Linked DNA regions of Sus scrofa. The protein of the gene in region 1 binds, or shares a complex with, the protein of each later gene. Links are inferred from orthologs where the notes say so. Each region holds a gene or a part of one and is shown in the gene's direction. Other genes may lie near its edges.

Evidence for each region.
Region 2: THOC1 (region 1) and CHTOP share a complex: the UniProt entries of both Homo sapiens proteins name them as parts of the transcription/export (TREX) complex. The link is inferred for Sus scrofa from reciprocal best matches to the Homo sapiens genes THOC1 and CHTOP.
Region 3: THOC1 (region 1) and SARNP share a complex: the UniProt entries of both Homo sapiens proteins name them as parts of the transcription/export (TREX) complex. The link is inferred for Sus scrofa from reciprocal best matches to the Homo sapiens genes THOC1 and SARNP.

The regions. Positions count from the first base shown.
Region 1 is NC_010448.4:106,084,261-106,088,012, forward strand, and holds part of THOC1 (THO complex subunit 1), read left to right. Parts: intron 1-1,984; coding exon 1,985-2,132; intron 2,133-2,799; coding exon 2,800-2,875; intron 2,876-3,368; coding exon 3,369-3,664; 3' UTR 3,665-3,752. UniProt on the Homo sapiens protein: Component of the THO subcomplex of the TREX complex which is thought to couple mRNA transcription, processing and nuclear export, and which specifically associates with spliced mRNA and not with unspliced pre-mRNA.
Region 2 is NC_010446.5:96,003,490-96,007,241, reverse strand, and holds the start of CHTOP (chromatin target of PRMT1 protein), read left to right. Parts: upstream 1-1,627; 5' UTR 1,628-1,937; intron 1,938-3,106; 5' UTR 3,107-3,123; coding exon 3,124-3,188; intron 3,189-3,752. Other genes in the region: S100A1 (protein S100-A1), read left to right, coding at 1-28. UniProt on the Homo sapiens protein: Plays an important role in the ligand-dependent activation of estrogen receptor target genes. May play a role in the silencing of fetal globin genes.
Region 3 is NC_010447.5:21,248,909-21,252,560, reverse strand, and holds part of SARNP (SAP domain-containing ribonucleoprotein), read left to right. Parts: coding exon 1-98; intron 99-2,095; coding exon 2,096-2,142; intron 2,143-2,369; coding exon 2,370-2,437; intron 2,438-3,652. UniProt on the Homo sapiens protein: Binds both single-stranded and double-stranded DNA with higher affinity for the single-stranded form. Specifically binds to scaffold/matrix attachment region DNA. Also binds single-stranded RNA. Enhances RNA unwinding activity of DDX39A.

The DNA.
Region 1 (3,752 bases):
GTATGTATACTAGAATGCTTAGCAAGGGAGAGAGTTGATGGTACTTCTCCACTTCAGTGAGTTTATATGCCAAGTTCATATTATGACACATCCTGACTTCAGCAACCATTCCCATCAACTAATAAGCAGGACTTAGAATCATGGTTTGATAGTACTTCTCCGCTTCAGTGAGTTTATATGCCAAGTTCATATTATGACACATCCTGACTTCAGCAACCATTCCCATCAACTAATAAGCAGGACTTAGAATCATGGTTATGTCTAAGAAGAAAAATCCCCCCTTGAGCCCACTTCTTATCACCTCTTTTCTCTGTTCCCCTTCAAATCACACTATATCCATCAGTTGTTGATAATTTCCGCCTTCATTTCCTCATCTATTCTCCCTGGCCAGCCTGTGCCTGCTGGGTGATCTTCTAGTCACTCGACTAAAATAGCTGACCAAGGTCACTTATTTTTTGGACCTCTCTCCAGCAGCATTCGCCAGTTGATCATTTTCTTCCCTTGACACCTGTGAAACTACACTCTTCTCTGCTTTTTCCTTTTGCCTCATTGTCTCAGTCTCTTTTGCTGGCTCCAGACCATCTGCCAAATTCTCCAATTTTGGAATAACTACAGGAGTCAGTCTCAGCTTCTTCATCTGAATCTTCCAGGAGACACCACACAGCCCCATGGTTTTAAATAGGCATCCTGGCACATGGTCTAAGTGCCCTTTACTCTCATCAGCCTGCCTGGTCACTCCCGAGATCCAGATCCTACCTCCTGCTAGCTAGGCTTCTAAGGGCTGGTTTAAGCCCTTTTTTGCATGTTTCTTCATCTGTTAAAACAGTCATAGTACCCATTTCATGGCTTATACATACTAAACATTAAATAAAATGGTTCACTTTGAACCATGCACTGTATAGGGGTAGTATTTTAGGTGCCACACCATCTCAGAGGTGGAAGCTCATTTGTAAGCAATGACTAATATACCAGGCTGCTACTCTTAGAACTTGTGGGGGCTTTCAAATGATTTGTAAAAACTCACATTTGTGCTCTGGATTCTCTGTAGCTTACCTGTTTGCAGAAGAACATTATCTTCAGAATTTCCCTGAGGTTTTTCCTTCTCACCTTACTGTTTACCACCTGTTATTTCATTAGTGAAGAGTTCATAGAGTCTATTCTTGGCATCCCTGCTTATGGTGTTGACTCTTGGATGTGTCCCTTTTAGTTTTGGAGCCATTTTTACTCAGTGAGGTTGACATTTGGCAAATTACAGTTTGTTACATAAATGTTAAAAGGCAGATACTGATTAACATGATCCAAAACTGTTTTATTTATAAAATATTCTGAAACTCACATCTGCAGGTGACATTGCTAGTTTGGTTATCAACTCACTGAAGGTAGTGAACCTCTTTCTTACTATATGACCAGGCAGATGATTTCTGTCCTGCACATACAGCACCTAGCAAGTCCTGGACACATACTAACAGACTTTTAACTTAAATAAGATGTAACTTTTAAAGTTCCCATTGTGGCTCAGTGGTAACTAACTCATCTAGTATCCATGAGGACATGGGTTCAATCCTTGGCCTCACTCAGTGGGTTAAGGATCCAGCATTGCCATGAGCTGTGGTGTAGGTTGCAGACAAGGCTTGGATCTGGTGATGCTGTGACTGTGGTATAGGCCAGAGGCTACAGCTCTCATTCAACCCCTAGCCTGGGACCTTCCATATGCCGTGGGTATGGTCCTAAAAAGACCAAAAAAGTATGTAAACTTTTGAATTGTGTTTGCTACATATGAACCTGCCTCTTTGGACTCCATTGGTTTCTGATTTGTAAGAGAACTGCATACTGAGACGTTCTGTAGGGCTATGATCACAAGGAAGAGATGGTGCCCTCAGCTACTGACCTGAGAGGACATTATTTCATGTGGTGAAGTTCCATGCACTAGAAGGGAACATGTAAATAAAACACTCAATTACAAGACTGGCATCTCTTTTTATAGGGCTGTGAACAATTCAAATTACGGTTGGAGAGCCCTGAGACTGTTAGCTCGGAGAAGCCCTCACTTCTTCCAGCCAACCAACCAGCAGTTCAAAAGTTTGCCAGAATATCTTGAAAACATGGTAATAAAGCTAGCCAAGGAATTACCAGTAAGTAATATAGGCCAATTTTTTCATCCTTTAGTTGGCATTATCTTCCTTTTTTAAGAGCTGAATTTAGCCTTTATTACATGAAAAAAATGATCCACAAACCCCCTTTAGAATGAGGAAGATGCACTGTGTGTGTGTGTGTATGTGTATGTGTATTACACTTACATAAATTGGTAACTTTACGTGCTATATCAAAAATTATTAATTTATTATATTTTGGGTAAACTTATTTTTCCTGTTTTGCCAAAGCATTACATTTTATCAAAGATAGGGCCTTTGGGGGTAGCAGTAGGTAACCTGGCCTGTATTGTTCTACTCTGTTCTTTTCCAGTACAGTATGGTAATAACTATACTATGTGCATCAAATCTAAGAAAATTACTCAAAAAAAACCCACTTAAGGACATGGTTGCTCCCCTAGTCTTCCTAAAGCATTGTTACTATTTGCTGGGTCCTTGCAAGTCATTTTACTATACTTCTTACTGGCTCCCTTCTTCCCACATTAGGGCAAAGGGCCTTTCTAACCTTCAGGTTTTCACCGTCCCACTGTGATCCTTACCTGACATTTGGGCCCCATGATTGGAATCTCTTACCTAAATAATAAGCACTCCCAGTTATATTATTTTAGAAGTTGGCACTCTTTTAAGACATTCTTCTTACTCATTTTAGCCTCCTTCTGAAGAAATAAAAACAGGTGAGGATGAAGATGAGGAAGATAATGATGCTTTACTGAAGGAAAATGAAAGTAAGATTTGAATTTTCTTGGCTATTTTACAAAATTGGAAAAGATTGGGGTTCTTGGTTGAGAGGTACGTTATTTAATTTTGATCTACTTCTCAACTTCTACCATTTATCTCAGCTCTGTTTCTTATAGTGAGGAATCTAGAACATTGCCTGATAATAACGTTTAAAATAAGACATCTTATACAATAAAATTTGGAAGTATTGGAAAGGAAAGTACTTAAATTTGAAGGCAACTCATACCTCTTAATTCTTGGGTATTAGATTGGGGCAGCTGGTTTCAGAAGATGCCTTCATAATTATAATAGAGGCAATGATTCCTCAATGATCATGATAAGAATAGTAATTCAACATGTGGAAAATGCAAAAGAACCGTCTTTTAAAATAAAGCTAATAAAAGATGATTAATATCTCAGCTTCCCCATGTTCCATTATATACTTTGAATCTTACACGTCCTCATACTTTGTTCATAATCTGCATTTCATGTGTTTTCTAGGTCCTGATGTTCGACGAGACAAACCTGTAACAGGGGACCAAATAGAAGTATTTGCTAACAAATTGGGTGAACAATGGAAGATTCTGGCTCCCTACCTGGAAATGAAAGACTCAGAAATTAGACAGATTGAGTGTGACAGCGAAGACATGAAGATGCGAGCTAAGCAGCTCCTAGTGGCCTGGCAGGATCAGGAGGGCGTGCACGCAACACCTGAGAACCTCATCAGTGCACTCAACAAGTCCGGATTAAGTGACCTTGCAGAAAGTCTAACTAATGACAATGAGACAAATAGTTAGCTTCTTTTTTTTATTATTAAAACTGTGATAAGATTTTGTTACCAAGCAGCATTTGATAAGAGGTCCACTGGTTTTGGTAAACAATAAA
Region 2 (3,752 bases), on another chromosome or scaffold:
TAACAACTTCTTCTGGGAGAACAGTTGAGCAGATGGTCCCATTGGGCAGCGCCCTTCCCCTCCACCCTGCCATACCTGCCTCTTCACCCTGCTTCCCCTTCATCCCGCTGTTCCCTCCCCACCTTCTCACCCTTGCCTACCCTCCAACAGGGGCGCAAGAGTAGTGGGCCAGGCCTGCAACTCATCTTTCATTAAAGGCTCCTCTCTCACCAGCCACCAGCTGCTGTCTCTGGTCCTTCAGGGTTTGGAAATGGGTGGGGAAGTGAAGGCTGTTCACTCCCAAATTGCTTTATTTGGGGAGGGATCTTATTTTGGAGAAAGATCAAGGAACCATTACATCTTCCTACTTAAGGAATGCTCAAGGCCCAGAAAGGTAGAGGCTCAAGGTTCCAGCTGGAAGTGGCAGAGACATCAGCTTTTCAGCTTTGAAGCCAGAAAAATTGCCCTTCAACTTTCGAAGAATATGTGCTGAAGACCTACCCCGTGCTAGACATTGTGTGGAAACTGGGAATACAGCAGTGAGCAAAACAAACACAACCCTCACTGTCACATAGGTGAAGTCCAGTAAAGGGTGCCAAACCATTAAACATACACGTATAAATGCTAGGAAGGAAAATGAAAGGATCTCATGCGCCTTTAAGAGAGTGGAGGTGGAACTGAGGACATGTTCATTCACTCATTCTTCCAACATCTGAGCCTTTTTTTTTTTTTGGTCTTTTTTTGCTATTTCTTGGGCCGCTCCCACGGCATATGGAGGTTCCCAGGCTAGGGGTTGAATCAGAGGTGCAGCCACCTGGCCTACGCCAGAGCCACAGCAACGCTGGATCCGAGCCGCGTCTGCAACCTACACCACAGCTCACAGCAATGCCGGATCGTTAACCCACTGAGCAAGGCTAGGGATCGAACCCGCAACCTCATGGTTCCTAGTTGGGTTCCTTAACCACTGCGCCACGACGGGAACTCCCATCTGAGCCTTTTATTGTGTGCCCAGGTATAAGGAAAATGCCATATAGGTCTGCATCAAAATCCACATGGAAGCTAGATGGAGGGAGAAGACATTGGAATAGGTTGCGGGGACGCAAAGCTTCCCCCAAATAAGAATTTAACAATCTTCAGGCCAAATTGGGAAGGGAAGTGAAGAGAAAAATATGGACGGGCAGTGGTGCGTGGTGCAGGATCCAGTGAGGTGTGCTCCCTGCACTGGTCCCCAGGTGCGTTTATGGCAACCCACAACTCTAAAAGGGGCGTATGCTGAGGGGGGAGCCAGCGCAAATTACACCGGCCCGGTGGCTCTCGGAAGAAAGACCGAGTCATGTCGCGTAAAGAATTTTAGTCGGTCTGCCTTAGCTTTAGGGGTGGAGGGACCCGCAATGAAATACGAACTTCTTTTCTTAAGAGGACCAAATCCGCCTTGAACGTCCCAAATCACCAACTTGCAGCCGCCTTAAAACCCAAGAGAGAATATATTGGCCACGCCCCTTCCCGGGTGGGGCTCGGAGTGTAATACAGCCTAAAGCCCCGCCTTTTCCCTGGAGCTCCGCCTCATCCCCCGCGCAGGCGTAACACAAATTTTCCCGCCTCCTGCGCTGTGCGCAGACCTGACGTCTGACGTAATGGCGTCGACGCCATTTTAGCCGGTCCCATTCCGCACTGGGCGTGGCGGCCATTTTGTTTTGGAGAGCGAGCGGGAGTTGGCGGCAGCGGCTGTGGTGAAAGGCAGGAAAGGGCACGCCGGGCGAGCAGGCGAACCGGCCGACCGGACAGCCACCCAGCATCAACGAACTAACCTAGCATTCTACCGTTTAACACATACAACCAACCGCCCACCAAGTTAATCCGAGCCCCTCCACCGTCAACTCAGGTTCGGCCGGCCCCCGGCCAGCCTGTCGCAGCCGTGGTGGCAACCCCGGGAGGAGCACTGGCGTCCGTTTCCTTCGGTACGTTTCTGTGGTGAGAAGGAGGGCAAAAGTCTTGGGGAGCGCCCGGGCCCGGCGGTCGTGGAGTGGGAGCTGGTGGGATGTGGAAGCAGATTGGGTGTCGGGGAGTGGAGGCCCCGGGAGGGGGCGGAGCCCCTGAGAGGGAGGCGGGGGAGGCCCCGAGCTGGAAACTCGCTGCTGGAGGTTGGGATTTGGTAGGAATAGAAAGGAACATTGCTGGGCGGGTTGAGCAACGTTGGCGGTCCCGGACGGGGCTTTGAGATGGGAGTTCAGAGGAGGACTACACGGCTTTAGGGAACGTCAGAATGCACTGGCAGCTGTAGAGTTAAATTTTGTGGCGTGCTCTCTGGGATCGAACTCCCAGGTGAACGCCCATTTAGGAAACCTTTCCTACTCCATCCCTCCCCCACGTCCCCAGTCCCTTGCTAAGGTTCCTGCAAGACTTTGGAGTTGAAAGCCAATTTGTAAACTGGTAAACCTGTATCATCTCTCTAGAGCAGTGGTTCTGAATTTTGGCTGCACATGAGAAGCAGCAAGTTAGACACCACCCCCCCTCCCCGCACCACCTTCTAATTGCTGATCCCCAGACCTCACCAGCAGAGATTGTGCTTTAAATGGTTTGGGCCGAAGCTTCTGTATTTTGTGTCTGTCTTTGTTGTTGTTTTGTCTTTTTAGGGCCGCATATATAGAAGTTCCAAGGCTAGAGGTCGAATTGGAGCTGTAGCTGCCGGCCTAGACCACAACCCACAGCAACGCTAGATCCTTAACCCACTGTGCGAGGCTAGGGGTCCAACCCACATCCTCAAGGATGCTAGTTGGGTTTGTGACCGCGGAGCCATGAAGGGAACTCCTGTTGTTGTTTTTTAAAGCTCCTTGCAGCCAAGGTAGAGAAGGACCGCTCTAGATGAAAAGCCAAACACTTTCTTTGGCTAGGTCTAGGTCTGCCATTTTTGGAGGCTTGGGCAGGTATTTTCTGTCATGTGGCCTTGAAGTTTATTAATTCCAGATAACTTAGCTTCTAAATGTAAGCACCTGAAATGAGTTTTGGTGTGATCTTCAGTAGTCATTGAGACAGGCCTATTCATTCATTTTTGGTTTGGGCCTTTGGCCCTGTTGAAATGAGGTAGTCATCATTCTGATTTGCTCACTTTGCCCATTGTCTTTTGTAGATTCTCGGGATTTGAAGATGGCTGCACAGTCAGCACCGAAAGTTGTGCTAAAAAGCACCACCAAGATGTCTCTAAATGAGCGGTGAGGCAGCCAACAGCAACTTCAGCTCGTTCATAAGAAAACATTACTTAAGTTGGCCCTGGGTCCAATGCACAAAAACCAGTTTTAAGCTAAATACCAACAGAAGGCTACAGACCTCTGTTCTTAGTAGCATCTTATGTGGTACACAAAACAAATTGGGCGGTTGTTTCAAAACCACTTATCAGTAGATTTTTATGTTAAGCTGTCTGAAATATTTCTCTGGTGGGATGTATTTTAAAAGACTCCTCACACCCTCCATTTTCTTCACATTTTTTTTACATTGATACAGGGGTGGTGCAGCTTGGTAGCATGGAACCCCGGCTGCAGTAGGCTTGCTGCCCAGTCCAAGGCCAGCAGTGTTGTGTCTGGCCTGTAAGAGGCAGGTAGCAAGCTATGAATATGTCCAAAGGCCCTTGAATGTCATTCTTGGACCTTGTAAGAGGCACTTGCTTTGCTCCATTTCACTTTCTTTCCATTCTGCTTTTAGTTTGTTTTTGTTTTGGATTCTTTTGCGCTTAAGTGTTCTTCTCTTTCATTCCGTTAAATTCGACAGGAATAATAGAA
Region 3 (3,652 bases), on another chromosome or scaffold:
TGCTGAACTAAAGCAGGAGTGTCTTGCTCGTGGTTTGGAGACCAAGGGAATAAAACAAGATCTCATCAACAGGCTCCAGGCATATCTTGAAGAGCATGGTGAGTGCTCTGTGGAGGCAAAGACTAATGTGAATGTGGGGATTAATTTTTAAGCTCTGCCATATGGAAGAGTTCTTTTCCTGTAAGTTGTTGATGATGTGAGGTCTTAATTAACTCTGTCCAGAAAACTCTTGGTCATCGAAAACAGTGGTTATAGTGAAAAGAAAGAAATACCACTCCCCACCACCACCTTTTAAGAAAAGACATTGTGATTATATTTCAGCAGATTTTTTTTTTTCCTTTTTTTTGGCTACCCCATGGCACATGGAGTTCCTGGGCCAGGGATTAGATCTGAGCTATATGTGACTTATGCCACAGCTGCAGCAACACCAGATCCTTAACCCACAGTGCCAGGCTGGGCACTGAACCTGCATCCTGGTGGTGCAGAGATACCACTGTTTCCACTGTCACAAAGGGAACTCCTCAGCAGATATTTTGAAGGTAGTATGGTACAGCAAGTATCCTTAGACTCAGAATTGGAAAATTTTGATTTCTGATTCCTCTCGTGCCAGAAATTTACTAGGTAATTTAGGATGGCCACTGTTTTCATGGCTAAGTGTCTGTTCTGGTCTGTGAAGTGAGACAAGTGTCTCCACCTTTGAAATCCATGAACCTAGGTAATCTCTGGTCCCTTCAAACTCTGACATTCTCTAATTCCACCTTTTTAAAAAGAAAAACAACTTCATTTGAGGCATTGTGTCATCCTTCTCTAATTTTTATTATTTATTCCGTTTTATTCCTGTGCCATTTGCCCCAGCTATTCTAATGTATATATTTTTTGTCTTTGTCCTTGTAAGCCAGGTAGTGTTGTTTGGTGTACAGTATTTTTATGTAATTGGCAATGCGGCCATAGTCTTACTTTATTTTTCTTACCTTTCCCTCAGAGTACCATGTTCTAAGATATATTTGTGGGGTGTGTGGCTATATGGTCATCTAATCTATTGATTCTAATTCCTGCAAGGTTATTCTGATGTATAGAATTTACCACGTTTTATTTAGTTCACTCAGTGACTGATGCTCCTTTGTTGCCTCCGGAACTATTTCTTTCATATTCCCTTAAATTCCTGAGAGTCTTTCTGGGTTATATACCCAGGAATGGGGTTGCTGATAAGTACATAAATGTATACTTAATGTGACTAAACACTGCCAAATTGTTTTTCTAAATTGCTCTATAAATCTCATCATCAGTACATGAGGGTTCTTATATCTCCTCCACAAACCTAAAGTTGACATCGTCTTGTCAAGTGACTTAATTTTTGCTTATCTCTTGGTGGTTTCAATTTACATTCCTCGAATTATTAAAAAGTTTGTGGTTTGTTACCTTTTTCCTTTGCCCATTTTTCTTTTGGGATTCATATCATTTACTTCCTTTGCAGTCATTTCTTCAGTATTCTGGTAATTATCCCCATGTTGGTTTTAGACACAAATATCTTCTTTGTCATTTGTTTCTTTTTCTGTGGTGACTTAAAAAGTCTAAACATTTCTTTTGTTTGTGGTTCTTTGGGTTTCTCCTTTGCCCTTTTCTCTGATGGGATTCACATCATTTACTTAGTTTGCAGACATTTCTTCTATATTCTAGTAACCGTATATATAGACACAAATGTCGTCTTTGTCATTGTTTCTTTTTCTGTAGTGTCCTTCCCTGGTTTGAAAAATCTGCAGTTTTTTGCATATTACTTTTGCTTTAGGGTTTTTTGGTTTGTTTTTGAGAAATTCTTCCCCACCACTAAATTCTCACACATTACTTTTTGTGAATGTTATAGTTTGACCTCATCACATTTAATCCTTCAGTCTAGCTGGTATTCAACTTCGTATTGATATTAGGTAGAGAATATAGTTTTATCTTCTCCATGTGGAGCACATTTTATGAACATCATTTCTGCCTTCATTATTGAATTTTATTTTGGGGCAACAAACTGATTATAATTTTAGCCTAAGTGCAGTGATCAAGATGGTTTTGTAGCAGGGCTTGACCTAAATATTTTAATATTCTTTAGCTGAAGAGGAGGCAAATGAAGAAGATGTACTGGGAGATGAAACAGAGGTGAGTTGGAGAGAGTAAGGTTAGTCACTAGCCTGGCAATGTGCCACTGCCTTGGTCACATTGCTGAGCAGCAGATATTAGAGGGCTTATATGCTAACTTGTTAGGGGAGCATAAAGGGGGAATGCAGCTTCTGAAAGACTGGTTCATTTTGGCAGTCTCATATTCTTCTCTTTGACAGGTATTTACTCTTAATTTACATTAACCGTCCTGTTTCATTTGGTTTTAGGAAGAAGAGCCGAAGCCCATAGAACTGCCTGTCAAAGAGGAAGAACCTCCTGAAAAAACTGTTGATGTGTAACTATCCCTTTTTTATAATGAATACAGAGCAGACAGGTCTGGGTTTTTTAGTGTTTCACTCTGTTCATCTCCTACACGTTTGCATTGGCTTTTTCATTTCTCATTAGATCACGTATTTTCAGAAATGTCTACTTCATTTCAAGTACTTGGTCCCAGTAAGGCAAAGTAGGTTGTCTCTGGGTTATGTAATACATAATTAGGACCAGGAGACTTCAATCCCAGGTAAAGTTTAGTTCTCCTAGGCTTTGCTGTATCACCTTAATGGATGATTCTCTTTCTGTATAGAGAATCATGAAGGTTTTCTGCATGTAAAGAATTTTGTAATGGAGGAAGATGCTGAACAGAGGTTACATCTCAAGTAATGCTGTATTCTCTCTTCCTGTTTGATTTACAGTGGAGGAGGGGAGGACAAAGTACTAGAGTGAAAAGTGGATCTTGGTTGCTTAAATTATTCCACAAGCTTGATTATAAGCATCTTTTATTTGGTGTTTCCCACAAACATCTGGCTGTCTTAACTCCAGCACACTAAGAACAGTTGAGTCCTTTTTAACACTTTTGTTTCTTATAGCCGTATTAATCCATTTAATTATAAAAGGCAATATATGTATAAGTAGAAAGTCAAATAGTACATAGAGGGATATATAAATTGAAAATTAAGTATCTTGTCTCCACCCCCACCTGACTTCCCAGAGGTTTTCAATACTTTTTTTTTTTTTTTTTTTTTTGGTCTTTTTAGGTCCGCACCCATAGCGTGTGGAAGTTCCCCAATCAGAGCTATAGCTGCTGGTCTACACCACAGCCACAGCAACGTGGGATCCGAGCCGCATCTGCAACCTATGCCACAACTCATGGCAACGCCAGATGCTTAACCCATTGAGTGAGGCCAGAGATCAAACCCGAGTCCTCATGGATTCTAGTTGGGTTCGTTAACCACTGAGCCACAACGGGAACTCTTTCAGTATTTTTGTGTGTGTGTGTGTGTTTGCCTTTTCTTGAGCCGCTCCTGAGGCATATGGAGGTTCCCAGGCTAGGGGTCTAATCAGAGCTGTAGCCACTGGCCTGCGCCAGAGCCATAGCAACGTGGGATCCAAGCAGCGTCTGCGACCCACACCACAGCTCACAGCAACGCTGGATCCTTAACCCACTGAGCAAGGCCAGGGAACGAACCCACAACCTCATGGTTCCTAGTCGGATTTGTTAACCATTGCGCCA